Linked DNA regions of Notamacropus eugenii. The protein of the gene in region 2 purifies or fractionates together with the protein of the main gene of each other region. This does not show direct contact. Links are inferred from orthologs where the notes say so. Each region holds a gene or a part of one and is shown on either strand. Other genes may lie near its edges.

Region 1 (7,023 bases), on a different chromosome or scaffold from region 2:
CTGTGTAATTATATAAAACTATGGGATTTGAAACATCATCTTTCATTCCTAAAATACAAACCTACAAACACATGGTCCTTTTACTTTTCAATCCTTATGCCATTTTGGCTAGGGAATGCCCTATGGACCACCTGTCCCATTTGTCTCTGCATAAAAAAGTATATACTTTTGGCCTAGCTAGATAGTTGTTTAGTGTTTTCAGTCTTGTCTGATTTTGGGTTTTCTTGGCAGAGATACCAAAGTGGTCATTTCCTTCTCCAACTCATTTTACAGATGAGGAAACTGAGGCAAACAAGGTTAAGTGACTTACCAAGGGTCACACAGCTAGAAAGTGTCTGAGGCCAGCTTTGAACTCAGGAAGATGAGTCTTCCTGACTCTAGACCTGCCACTTTATCCACTGTTTCACCCAGCAGTTCTACAGACAATACTTGCTATTAAACTTGTAAAAGTACATTGAAGTAAAAGTACATTGGGTGTGAAGCAAAAAGGACCACATGTTTCAAGTTCAGAAATATATCCTTTGAATGTATTACAAAATGTCTCTGTATTCTTCAACTGAACACAAATCAATAATTGATTTGAGTTCAGTTATATGACTGCATTCCACATTCTATATTTGAAATTGAGCTTTTTTTTTGTTTTATTCAGTGACTGTGTTAACTGTTTTGATCTATAAACGTTTTTTACATCTTTCCTCTGCTCCTAAAATAATTTATTTTAAAAATTTCAATAACAGTTCCTTTCTCTAGAGTACCAATAAATGTACTTTTTTTTTTAAAAGACAAAATACTGTTACATGTATATCTCCAATTACCTGCTAAACTTTTCATGGAATTGTTTCAAATGCAAAGTCTAAAGGTGTCCTTCTAATTATTTTGACTCCTCCCTCCACTTTGCCCCCAGTAAGTCACCAAGTCCATTCGGCCTTCATTCTGTCTCTCTTATCTGTTTCAGTCTATTACTCTTCATTCCCTTTGGCATCATCATAATCTAGCCTTGAATGCATGTATCTTTATTGTCACCTAATTGGTCTTCCCTTCAGTCTTTCTATCCTCTGACTTGTTTATTTTGTTGCCAGGGCAACTTTGAGATTTCATATGCCAACACAATAAAGCATAAACTCTCAAGCGTGGCATTCTGGACACAAGCTTTCTTTCTAACAGTTGCTCTGTGGTATGAATGTGGCTGTAGCCAGATTCACTGATTCCCAAGCACATTCATTGCTTATGCTTTTCTTTCTTTCCATGATATTGTCCATACTTTTCTATACCCATCCTAGCCAGTCTTATCTCTCTCATGAAGCCTTCAGTGATCATTCTAGCCCATCCTGATCCCTTTCTCTGATCTTCTGTAGCTTTGTAACACATGATATCTGATGCTTCCTTGTGACATTGTTATATTTTCTTAAACTCCCACGTAATTTTTGTAATTGTTTTTTGTGTCTTGTTCTTGTCCTCTCCCTCCAATAAGTTGCAAGCTCCTTGAGATCAGGGTTCTTTGTTTACATCTGCCAGTGTAATAGTGCATAGTACTATTACATAGTATATATTTGTTGAATAAATATAAGAGATACTGAGGGAAAAACAAGACTAGAGCATAGTCTCAGACCCTGAGGATTTTGCAGTTTAGTGGATATTCACATCTGTACTTGAGAAAAAACAAAAACTTACATTTTTATATAACTTGCATTTTGTACCATCCTGTAATGAGTCACCAATGATCTGGTGACAGATTTGAGACACTTTTTCTAGATAAGAAGCACAGAGCCCTCTCCTTACTTCCTAATAGGCACAAATATTCTGACAGGTTGGTCTCAGACAGGTAAAGATTAATATGGAGCACAGCTGGTTTGCAATAAATGATGGCTAACTAGAAAAGGAGACAAAAAGACAGGTGTCAAAATAGTTCTGCTGATGGGAAAAAAAGTCGTGGATAGGGCAAAAAGGACAGGATTGCACTGACTTTCTCTTCTTTTAGACTAGATCTTCAGAATTGTTCCCTGAAAGAACTGGACCCACTCTTTGCTGAGGCACATTCTGCCATTGTTCTGTAAGTGCTCTCAGGGGCCTTCCTCCCAGAAGACATAAGTGTAGAGGGGTACAGAGCTGGGTAACTAGGGACGGAGCCCTTCTGAGAGAAATGTGGGGGTCCTTCAATCTGGACAGTCCAGGATGGGCAATGGGTGCTAAGAGAAATAGAAGTGTATGACAATTAAAAAGATTTGGAAGACATGGTTTTGGGGTAATTTATTCATTTTTTTTTAATAAGGCCAGCAGTTTATTAAGAAAAGTTTGGTCATTTGGCAGTCTTTCTTAGATCAAAGACTCCTAATGGCTGCGGGGTCACAGTTTATATGCCTTTTGAAGTTTCCTGAGGGGTTCCTAATCACCTCTGATTGGTTAACACAGTGAGAGGTGGGCTGTCTTGGGCTGTGTGACTTAGGTCACTCATAACTTGGTGAAAGAGACATCAATTTCCATATCAACTGTCTTGATTGTAGGGAGAATCAACATTTTCCCAGGCCTGTCTAACAAACACAGTAAGCAGGGATATACCCATTAGCTTCACTTAGAAATTTCTTTCTTAAAGAATTTTTTTACTGTCTAATTAGATCTTGACCTGGGTAAATCTCTAAGAGAGACTTCCCACACTGGTTGATTTCTGGATGAGGAAGTAGAAAAGGGGAAAACCTTGGTCCTAACACAATAATTAATTCTTAAATATAAGAGAGAAATATTAATTTCACACAAATGGAATCAGGGAGCTTCTCTAGGTAAGGCATAGTAACAGTGGGTATTTTTGATTTGCAGGGACCTACAAGCAAACCCTCTCCTGAATATATCTACCTCAGTCTTTCGTAACTTCACAGAGCTCCAGACGCTGTGAGTAGAATGAGGTAGGAAACATATAATGAGATCAGCAACATCTGATTGCATGGCATGACAATTGTATGTTATGTTCAGGGTACTGCCACTGAAAGTTGACTGTCCTGGAGGATATTATGCCTGGGAAAATATCACCTGTGGCACCGACAGCTGTACCTGCTACAAGCAAAGAAATCAGTGCAATAACACTGTGGAATCAGGTATGACTTTTGACTTCTTTCCTTCTAGAAACTGCCTAACTTCCCTTACTCTGCCCTTTGAAAAAGGGAAAGTAACCCCCAACTGTGATTAGCACCCATGTTTTCAAGATCCTCACCCCATGTAGGTAAAGGACATAATCAGTCTCATCCTTTCTATCCTTGCTCCTGACCTGGAAAGCACTTTGAAGGATTTAGGGTTGGAGCAGAAGTATGCGTAGCCTTGACTACCTAATGAATCTGTTGTTAATGTACAATAGTTTCTCTCCTGCTGCAGCTTTGTGCCCAGAGAATGCATATTGCGTCCCTGATGGCCCAGGCCTCTTCCAGTGTCTTTGTACTAGTGGCTTCCATGGCTACAAGTGTCTTCGTGAGGTGAAAAGTGGGGAAATGAACCAGCTTGGAATGAGATGTGGGAAGTGGGTTTGGGACTTGCAGTCATTTGGAATCAAACTGCATGAAGAGGAAGCCTCTTAGGTGGAGGGGGAATGACAAAATTTACATTTCTGTCTGCTGACACTTGTTCCTCATGGCATGTTACTTACAGGGCTCTTTCCCTCTCCTCATGTTCTCTGGAGTGCTGGGCACTACCACATTTTGCATCTCCATCTTGCTCTGGGGAACCCAGCTTCGAAAAATCAAAGCCTCTTGAATCAAGTTTTCCTTCGGACCTACAAATCGAAGAAGCTCTTAGGTGGGCGCAGCCTGGGAGTTTCCTTGCGCAGCTCAGGCCTTGGCCTAGAGTGCAGAGAAGTAGGGGGTGGAGAGAGCTGGGATCCACTGGTGGTCTGGTGGCTGCTAGACCAGGCTTGAAGTCAGAAGTGTTTGTAAGGTTTGCCCCTAATAAAATCCCCCCTTTTAAAGAAAGTGCTCTGTGTGTGCGTGTGCGTGTGTCTCTGGGCTGCACTGCGTGAGGCTGCAGTAAGAAAATGACTCCCAATTCTTGCAAAAGCCCAAAGGAGGCCCGCGAGTCCCCGGCGAGTTAACCTCGGACCATCTCTTCCCCGGACTTACAGATTCGGTGACGTCACGGCACATCACCTGGCCACGCCTCCTTTGCGTCCGCTCGGCTCCGCCCCTGACGTGGTTCGGCGGCGCCGTCTCAGCCGCAGCTCCCGCCACCCGGGAGCGAGGCGAGGATCCTAGACCGGCTCTGCCGCCTCCGCCGCCGCGGGCCACGTGGACGGGCCGCCGCGCCACCGCGTTTCGCTGCTCCGCTCCGCACGTGGGCCCCGCCAGGCTGCCATCTGCGCCCTCCCAGGGGGCACGGCTCCGGTTCCATGGCGGCGCTGGTGTTGGAGGACGGGTCGGTGCTGCGGGGCCAGCCCTTTGGCGCGGCCATATGCGCCGCGGGGGAAGTGGGTAAGCCCTCCAGCTCAGGCTTCCTAGGCCCTCTCCCTCCCTCGACCCCGGGCGGGACCCGCTACCCTCCCCAGGTTGGTGCCCTGGCCAGTTCCCCCGAGCCAGGTGGCTGAAAGCTGCCCCCGCCTGTCTTCCCGCAGTGTTCCAGACTGGCATGGTGGGCTACCCGGAGGCCCTCACCGACCCCTCCTACAAAGCCCAGATTCTGGTCCTGACTTATCCGCTCGTGGGCAACTATGGCATCCCCCCCGACGAGGAGGACGAGTTCAGCCTCAGCCAGGTACAGGGGCCTCTCCCTCTTTCCCGCCCAAGCCTCTCTGCTTGCCCCTGCTATCACCTTTTGCGGAGAGCATGTTGCAGTTTTACCTGGGAAGGGTTCCGATGTGGTGGTCCCCTAGTTATCTTCGTTCCACAGCTCCGACTGGTAGGAAGGACGATCTAGAGAGAAAGGGTTTGTCCCCTTCACGGCTGCCCACCCCCATACACGTGTACACATGATTTCTACTCCCCTCTGGTCAGTTAGCAAGCATTTATTGAGTTCCTTCCATGTACTGTTGGAAGGAGACCAGCAGGAGCCCCGAATCAGGAGCCCCAAGGACTCCGAGGCATCTGTAACTTGGTGACCCAACCGGGATGCTGCTGATAAGGACCGTAGGAATGTATCTGCACGGTCTGCATTCTTCACTTGAACCTATCTTAAAGAATGTTGCCACGCCCATCTTGACTTAAAATATTTGTAGATTGCCTATGAATATGATACTTGCTGGTGCTCCCTGAGGGAAGGAAGGAATGGGAAGATGATTCACTTAACCATGCCTGGCTTTTGTGTAGTACTTTTTAGTCTGAAAAAGAATTTCATTTGATCCTCATGATATTGCCATGAGGTTGGCTATTGTACAGATAAGAAAATATAGTCTGAAATATTGTCATTTGTTCAAAGGCACATAGCCAATCAGGTCTGCTGGCTCCAGATTCAGGCTTCTTCCCATCATATCTTGGAGCTGAGATATAACTTTGACTTCTGGAAGCTAGCTTTGTTGATGTAGGTCCCAGGGAGGTCTAAACCAGGGCTCCTCACACCTGGCTTCTGCTGGCTGCTCTTGCCATTGGGCTGTCCTCATCCTCATCTACCCTCATGGCAGTCTGCTCCACATTTACCATATCCTCCCAGGTCTGGCAACTTGATGAGTTCCTGGCCCCTAACTCTTTTACATTCTGTCAAACACTTCCCAAATATCCACTGTCACCCTCTTCCCCATATTTACCATTGACCCCACATTCAGATTTTCCCTCTGCCCCCAGCTCCAGTTTAGTGGATTGTCCTGCCTTCTGACCTGGGTCCCTATGAATCTCCACAGTTCTGCCTTTCTGCCCCCAGGATCCTTCCTTGGATGCAGGAACCAAGGCTTTTGACTGACCCCCTTATCTGGACCTGTGACTGTGAGCTGCTCCCTTATCAGATCCTAAACTTTGGCTCCTGGTCTCCAGTTTCCCTTTAGCAATGCTAAGCCCAAGCTTTACCAGAGGGTCCCAGGAGTCCTCTCCATCTTCTAGTTAAACCTCAGGACACAGTCTTCCTGTTTTTCCAGATTCAGTTGCATACCTGAAATATGCTGACACTTAAGTGTTCATGTTCCTTTTACCCAGGCCCCTGCTTCCCTGCACCCTATTCTTCCAGAGCCCTTAGGTTCCCTGCCAGCGGGCTGAATCCCAGACTGGCTTTTGTCTTCCAGCCTCAGAATTCCCCTAGTCATTCCCTGGTGGCTCCATTCAAGAGCTCTCCCCATCCCCAACTGTCTGTCATCTAGATAGTGTGTGTATGTGTATGTGTGTGTGTATGTATGTTACTTGGGGAGAGGGAATGCAGGAAGGGCAGAGTACCAATTGGAGGAAGAGCTCTTGAGATTCCAAAGTTCCTTCTGTCTCTTGGGTCTGTAGGAGGATGGGAGAGAGAAGAGGGTCAAAAGAAAAGAAATAAGAGAGGGGGAGACCATCTTCATTTTTATACCATCCCATCAAAGTAAACTTATATCCTGCTGCCCTGCCCTCTGTGTATACTCCTTCTAACTGCCCCTATGGCCAGAAACTCTGAGGGTCTTCTCCCAGACTTTTTTGTTTTTGACTGAACCCATTCTTTGCCTCTTTTCTTACCTGACCTTAATTACTGAATGGGTGTTGCCTCACAGTCCAGCTGAAACCCAGGAAAGACCTTAGCTTAAAAAGGTCAAAGTCCTCCACAGCATCAGAACTATCTCCAGTTGTCCTGATATATATCTTCCCCTTGGACCCAGATGGCTCAGAAGGAGACAGTGAGGCTGGTGACTTTGCACAGCCTTGCCTCACTTAAATCCAATTCACTCAAAAGTCATGGCATCCCCTTCTGATGACATGGTCCTTTTTGAAAATGAAGGACAAACAACAATCTTCCCACTATACTGGCCTCAAGGAACTTTTTGTAGTAGGGAAGGGCAAAATAAAAATCAATGAGTATAGTGTTTTGAGACTTGTAAAGCATTTTCTATGTAATTCCTAATTTGATTTATAAATAGTCAATATGGGGTGGAATGATTTCCATAAG
Region 2 (7,387 bases):
CTTCTTTCTGAAGGCTTTAAAAAGTCCTTCAGAATTGCTCCTTACAAACTAAAAACCTATTTAGTTGTGTGATCAAGAGCAGAGATCGCCAGCCTTTTTGATGAAAGCAACATTTTATTCCTTTAAGTGCAACCTAATGCACTTAATTTTAAAATTTAAAGTACATTAATTTTAAAAAGGAAATTACAATTCATTATGTTTTGAGAACACTTCAAGAATTATCCCCTTTGAGATAAAAATAATATGGGTTGATCCAAACAGGAAGGGGTCTAGTGAACTTCTTAAAAATTTTTTTTAAACTGTATTTTAGTATAATTGGTTTCCTCTGTAATCTTATGTATTTATTTTATGCATTTATAAACATTATTCTGAAAGGGGGGTCCATAGGTTTCATCAGGTTGCCCAAAGGGGTCCATGACATAAAAAAGAACCTCTGAATTGGTGTTTGCTAAACTAAGGTCTACTTAAAAAACACATCAGAAGGTAAGATTTCTGGGAAACAAAACAAAACAAAACAACCCACCAACAATAAATCCATTTCAATTAAGGCAAGCATCCCTCTTTAAGTGTGCACATAGTAGGTGCTTAATGACTAAACTGACTGACAGTATACTATAGTTGGGTTTAATGTCAAGATTTCCCATTTCCAAATCAAACATTTCTTCCTCCACTCCAAGATTTTAAATCTACAAAACTGTGTGCAGTTGATGGATCCTAGAAATAGGAGTCAAGAGACCTGTGCTCTGGAATCTTATCTCTGCCACTAACGAGCTGTGCCACCTTAAAAGTTCAGTTTTCTTTCTGTCTTACCTTTCTCATTGAGAAGTTATAAAGACAAGATAAGATCAATATGAAAACTCTTAGAAAAGCTCAATTCAACAAAGATATTTACTAAGGGCTTACTGGTTACAACGTTAAGTTCTTTGAGGGCTTACAGAGGCCATCTATCTTTGTTTCTGGATCCCCAGTCTAGCACAGTTCCTCGTATGATAACAAGTGATTAATAAATGCTTGTTGAATTAAAATGCAAAGCACTCTGCAGGCTTACGTTACCTTCAAAATAAAATAAAACAAAAACTATCATGATAAAATTATTAAAATTATGTCCCTGCCCTTAAGAAGCTTATAATGGGGTAGAATAGAGCAAGAACAGAACAGAATTAGAGCAAGTTTTTTCTGAAAGACCCAGCTCTAGACAAGAGGTTGTGAATCTCCACTGAAATAACCATTAAAGTGACAGTGTCGATGGCTCCAGGGGCCCTCTGCGCTACCGCACTACATTTCATTTGCATTCACACGAGTTGTTAAATCATCAGGATGTTTTACAAGCTCTCTCGATCTCCGTTGTATCCCCAGGGCCTAGGGCAGCGTCTGACCCGCGGTAGGCTCTGGATGAACGCGCGTTTAAAGAACCGGATTCTTTGTTTACATTTTGACTGTCAATAGACGACCCTTAGGAGAGTCCTTACTCCTTTCCCTTCGCTCCGTTTGCCCCCTCCCTCTCATTTATTCCTTTGCTACTCAGGACTGAGAGTATTCTTTTACCCCCCGTAGGGGGAAGCACTTTTCTGAGGTTTCTGATTACTGGGGATGCCGAAGCCCACCAGGAATCGCTACCCGGGGACGAGAACGTCTCTAGCTGGGTAGTAACGTGTAGCCATGCCCCTCGACTTAAGAGTGGGAGAGACGGGAAAGGGAAGACTGCGCCGGCCGAGCGCCCCGTACAGAGAGCCTCGGCTGGGCGGCCCGGGGAGGAATCCGCGAAGCTTTCCCGACGTGGGCTTTCCAGGCTCCAGGACCAGGGTCCCGCACGGACGGAGCTCTGGAGGGAGGATGCTAGGGCGGTGAGACGCGTGGGCTTGGGCAGGAACGGCCAAAGGGTGTCAGGTGGGCTCTCAGACTGCCAACAACTCACACGCCTCGGTTTACGAAGGAAGGGGGCCCACCTCGCTTTACGAAGCAGGGTGACCTGGCGGGCTGGGAACGGCTAAGGGGGCTGGCCCACGTTCCACAGACAAGCGGCCGGGGAGCAGCGAGGGCACGTCTGCGGACACCCCCACTTAGGGGGGCTGAGTGGTCCGAGGAGGCGGTGAGAAGAGGGGGTGGCCCCGGGCGAAGGGCAGGTCCCCCGCCAGATGTGGACCCCGAGGCTGAGGGACGGGGCCGGGCGCGGGCGCCGGGGCGTGGAACAGGCAGCTTGGAGGGCCTCGCTGCCCAGGATCCCCGAGAAGGGCCGGCGCTCCAGCGGAGATCCGCGCCCCGACGCCCAGGGGGCCCGACTCTCCCTGCCCCGGGGTCAGCGCGCCAGCCCGCCTACCTGCCGGCCCCGAGCGCCGCTCTCTCGTCTTCTTCCGCTGCCGCCGTGGCCGCTGCCGCTCGGCTTCGATCCCCTCACTTGACGGCTCTGGGCACCCGCCCGGCCCCGCCCCCAGGCTCCAGCCGAGTCGGCCTCGGGCCCCGCCCCTCCACCGCCACTCGCCGCGCGCGGCTCCTTCCCCGCGTTCCACTCGACTTTTGACTTTCGGGGCGGGGCCCTGAGCAAACCCCAACTTGCGAGCTCAATGGCCCGCCCCCTCCGAGTCGCTCCGCCTCCTGGGAGCGGTGATTGGTGAGAACGTGACCTATCAGAAATGGGCGTTATTTCCGCTCAGTGCTTGCCAAGGCCGAGAGATCCTGAGCCAGACTAGAGGTGGGGGCGGCGGCGGCGGCTGCTGGAGGCCCGGACCAGGCTGGGGCAGCTGCAGCGGGTAGAAACTGCACATGCGCCAGTCTTTACCGGATGCTTTCCGGGGGTTACGGGAAGGAAGAGTGACCGTGCGCATGCGTGGGCTTTGGTTGCCTTGGAGACGAACCTGTTCACAAGGAGGAGGAGGAGGAGGTGTCTCCTCTCTTTTCCTCCCAAACCCGCAGAAGCCGGTAGTGTTTAATAGAAAACGTGCTAGATTGACCATTGGAGAAATACAGTTTGAATCCCAATTGTGCTACTTACTAGCCGCGGGAGCCCGCGCCGCTCACCGTAACCGCTCCGTGCCTCGGTTTCCTCATCTGTAAAAGGGGAATCACATTCCCAGCTGGAAAGTTCGAATCCTAGCGTTCGGGCGAGTATTACTAACAGCGCCAGACACAGGGTCAGAGACTTAGGGCTGAAGGAGGCCGTCTGGTCCAAAGTCCTCATTGTAAAATAGGAAATCCGAGGTCGTGAGGGACTTGTCAAGAGTCCCAGAGCTGACAAAGGTCAGAGACAGAATTTGGACTTAGCTCCTCCTGACCCTGATCCGCCTTCTGCCCACTATCACGGCGCCTCTCAGGCAAGCAGAAGGTGTTTAATAAGTGCTGGTTGAAGAGGCAGCCACCAGGGACAGTGGATAGAGTAGCAGACCTCTAGTCAGAAAGACAGGTTCAAATCTGACCTCGCACACTTCCTGGCTTACAGCCAGCCTCTTCAAGTTTCCTCTTAAAGCCACTTTACAAGTGCTAGCTATTATTCTTTAGCTTTATACCATCTTAAGCCTTTTTATTGTACCCCAAGGACAACTGACCTAACAGCAGCCCTAAGTTTATTCCGCTGCCTGGTCTTGGTCACAAGCAGAATCTGAGGATGCTGCAGATGGCTCAGGGCAACCCATTTCACCAGCTGGTGAATAATGACAACTTAGATTTGGACTCAGAGTGGTGTTGGTAACGGGGCTGCGGAGTCAGGAAGACTCGGAGTCAGATCTTGCTTCTGACTTGTAGGCTATGTGGTCTCAGACGAATCATTTAACCCTTTAAGGTCCCCAAGCAACTCGCTCAGACTGTAACTGCACATCAGTGGGCAGTCTGCAATGGTGAGAGGGAGTTTCCTCACATGAATGAGATCATAAATCTAGACCAAAAAAACCCCTCATATTTAATATAGCACTTTAGACTTTACTGTGTAATACAGTGAAAAGAGGGCTGTTTTCTGGATCTAAGTCTGTAAAATGAGATTAGACTAGATGATCTCTCAGGCCCCTTCATGCCCCAAATGTCTGATACTATGGCAGAATCTCTTGGGCTCTCCGTCTCCACTGCTACCATCCTAGTCCAGATTCCTATTACCACCCACTTGAACTATTACATTAATTCCTACTGGATATTCCAGTCCACCTTTTCCCATCTAATCTATCCTTCACATACCAGAATACTCTTCCTTATGTAAAGAGATATGACCATGTCATTCCTCTGCTCAAAAATCTCTAGGAAAATTCAAAATCCTTTACTTGGCATTCAAGGTCCCCGGTAATCATGATACACTATGTTTCCAGCCTTATTTCTTATAGCTCTGCTGCAAGTACTCTACCATACAGTCAATCACACCGTGACTTTACTTAAGACTTTTTCCTAATGTTCAAAATGTCTCCCTCTTTTCACCTGCTGAATTCCTATCTATCCATCCTGTAAAACCTGACAAGTAACAATTCTTCACAGAATCACAGGTCTAGTTGGTAAAAACTTCGATGACATCAGCCAGGCTCTGCTGGAAGACTTTGAGTCATCACTCATGCAGCCTATCTTGCTTTTGGACAGATCTAATTTTTTTTTTTGAGGGGGGAATGTGGGGGGAGGCAATTGACTTATCCAGGATCACACAGCTAGTAAGTGTCTGAGATCAAATTTGAACTCCTGAAGACAGATCCTTCTGAAGGTAGATCTAATTTTGAGAAAAAATTTTCCATTTGTGGAGTTCAACTCTGCTTTTCAACAACATCCATGATTACTCGTAATTCTGCCCTTTGAGGCCAAACAGAACAAATCTAGTCCCTCTTCTACAAGACAGCCTTCCAAATACTTCAAAACAGCTGTCATGGTTTTTTTTTAGTCTTCTCTTCTCCAGGCTAATCATCCCCAGTTCCTTCAACTGTTCATAATATAACATGATCTCTAGACGTCTTTCAACATTCTAATCATCCTTCACTTTACACACCCTGTCTTCCTAAAATGTATTGCCCAGAAGTGAACACATTACTCCAGATGTGGTCTGGTTAGGACTGTCACCTTCTTTGTTTCGATTACTGAATTTAGTCTAAGATCTTGTGAGTCTTATAGGGTAACATATTCTGTTGTTGACTACTTGTAGTCCTCTAAAATCACTGATATTTTTCTTTTTAAAAAACGTATTAAACTTTATTTGTAGAGCTACATTCTTTCTCTTCTACCTCACCACTGATTGAGAAGGCAAGAAAAATAAGATCTCTATTACAAACATATATAGTAAAAAAAACCAAACCCAAATTCCTGAATTGACCGTGTCTGAAAGAAAGAGGCAAAGAATCACTCTGTCTCTTGAGTCCATCACCTCCCTATATGGATGTGGGTAATATGATTCATCATGAATGCTCTAGAATTGTGGTCGGTCATTGAGTTGGTCAGAGGTTCTAAGTCTTTCAAAGTTATTTGTCTTTATAATATGGCTGTTATTGTATAACTTGCTCTCTTGGTTCTGTTTTTCTCATTCTGCTTCAGTTCATTTGAGTTTCTCTGAGTTTCTCTGAAGCCATTCTCTTCATCATTTCTTAGCAGCATAATCCATATATTTTTCATAGGAACTGTTTTCCAGATATACTTTCCCCATCCCGTAGCTGTACAGATGAATTTTTGAACCCAAATATATGTAGCATTTATTGCTACAAAATTCAAATGATTTGATTCTAGCCTGCTGACATCTTTTAGATCCTGACTTTTTTGTTCAATGTGTTAGCTACATAAAGGCTTCTTACAATGGGATGCAGCATGTAAAGTTAGGAGTCTAGATTCTAGAGAGAAAGATATTTTGGTCAAATATGATCTCAGAGACCCCTCAAGTAAAACCGTGTAGATGAGTGACCTAGGCCATATGAGTTTTTGTCTGTCCCTTTGCCTCCTCGATGACTGGATGCCAGTTGAAACAGAGTGTAGCAGAATGGAAAGAGTACAGGATTTGGGGTTAAAAAACTTGAATTTAGATGCCGTGATGGGAGGCCATCCCTAGTTGTCTTTATCCAAATCTTGCCACTGGACCTAGATGGTTCTGGAGAAGAGAGTGAAGTCGGTGACTTTGCACAGCCCTCCCTTGCTTAAATTCAATTCATTTGTAAGTAATATTATCACCTTCCTGATGTCACTGGTCCTCTTCAAGAATGAAGGAGGAACAACAACCTGTGTGTGTAGGTAGTAGCTGCCCCACTGGGCTGGCCAGTTTCAGTTGGGCAATGCAGCTTTTTCCTTCCTTCCTTCGTTCCTTCCTTCTTTTCCTCCCTCCCTCCCTCCCTCCTTCTCTCTTTGTCTTCCTCTCTTCTCTCCTTCTATTCACATAGAGAATCACACTCTTACCTACAGGTGCTCTGCCCAAAGGAACATGAATTTTGATCAATGAAATTTCGCAAGACATCTTGGGGCTTACGGGCTAGATTTCTTTTAAGGACCATGCCTTAAACTCAGATCACTCTGGCTCTCATTGATTGGCCAACAACAGGTCTTAACCTAAGCCTCATTTGATCATTATTTGGATTCTAATGGCTCAGAGTGAGTGTAAATAGAAATTGTTTCAGTTTTGGCCAGAAACCCTGAGGGTCTTCCCCTGTCAGATTGATTTTTTTTGACTAGGTAAAAGAGACCACTCTTTGTCTCATTTCTTACCTATCCTTCATCACTGAATGGGTATTGTCTCAGTCAGCCAAGACCTGGGAAAGACCTTAACTTAAAAAGGTCAAGGTCTCCTGCTGCATCTGTGGCCATCTCCAGACTGATTTTTATACCTTACCACTGGATCCAGATAGTTCTGGAGGAGAAAGTGAGGCTGGTGACTTTGCATAGCCCTCCCTCACTTAAATCCAATTTACTTGCATGTCATGGTATCATCTCCTTGATGTCATGGTCCTCTTTGAGAATGAAGGACAAATCACAAGTAGTAGCAGTAGGATCTGCCCCACTGGAGAATCCAACTGGAACTGGCCAGTTGGGCAACACAGGTCCTTTCTTTCATTCCTTCCTTCCTTCCCTTCCCTTACCTCTCTCCACATAGGGTACCATATACTTAACTTCAGGTACTGTGCCTAAAGGAATGTAAACTTTAATCCCTAAAAGCTCTCAAGATATCTTGGGATTTATGGGCTAGATTTCTCTCTTAAGGACCATGTCTTAAACCTAAATTACTCTGATTCTCATTGATTGGCCAATAATAGGTTCCAGGCCAAATCCCACTTGGTCGTTGTTTGGGCCCTGATTGGCTCAGAGTGAAGGTAAATAGCAATTGTTTCTGTTTTGGGGGTATATATGAGAAAGATTGTGGAGGTAGAAACAAGGCTTGGCACTACATTGGGTATGTAGGATGAGAGAGATAGAAGTATGAAGCAGTTAATGATGACTAGGATGGTGCTGCCCTTGACAG

What was found.
Region 1: the proteins of MAP3K14 (region 2) and CAD purify together in Homo sapiens (affinity purification with mass spectrometry; 3 studies listed by BioGRID and IntAct, with this or other methods). This does not show direct contact. The link is inferred for Notamacropus eugenii from reciprocal best matches to the Homo sapiens genes MAP3K14 and CAD.

What each region holds. Positions count from the first base shown.
Region 1 is NC_092872.1:528,464,464-528,471,486, forward strand, and holds the start of CAD (multifunctional protein CAD), read left to right. Parts: upstream 1-4,013; 5' UTR 4,014-4,363; coding exon 4,364-4,445; intron 4,446-4,585; coding exon 4,586-4,725; intron 4,726-7,023. Other genes in the region: ATRAID (all-trans retinoic acid-induced differentiation factor), read left to right, coding at 1,979-2,050, 2,812-2,883, 2,965-3,086, 3,361-3,458, 3,631-3,735. UniProt on the Homo sapiens protein: Multifunctional protein that encodes the first 3 enzymatic activities of the de novo pyrimidine pathway: carbamoylphosphate synthetase (CPSase; EC 6.3.5.5), aspartate transcarbamylase (ATCase; EC 2.1.3.2) and dihydroorotase (DHOase; EC 3.5.2.3).
Region 2 is NC_092873.1:348,496,317-348,503,703, reverse strand, and holds the start of MAP3K14 (mitogen-activated protein kinase kinase kinase 14), read right to left. Parts: upstream 3,013-7,387; 5' UTR 2,990-3,012; intron 2,917-2,989; exon of another isoform or gene 2,538-2,916; intron 2,426-2,537; exon of another isoform or gene 2,318-2,425; intron 1-2,317.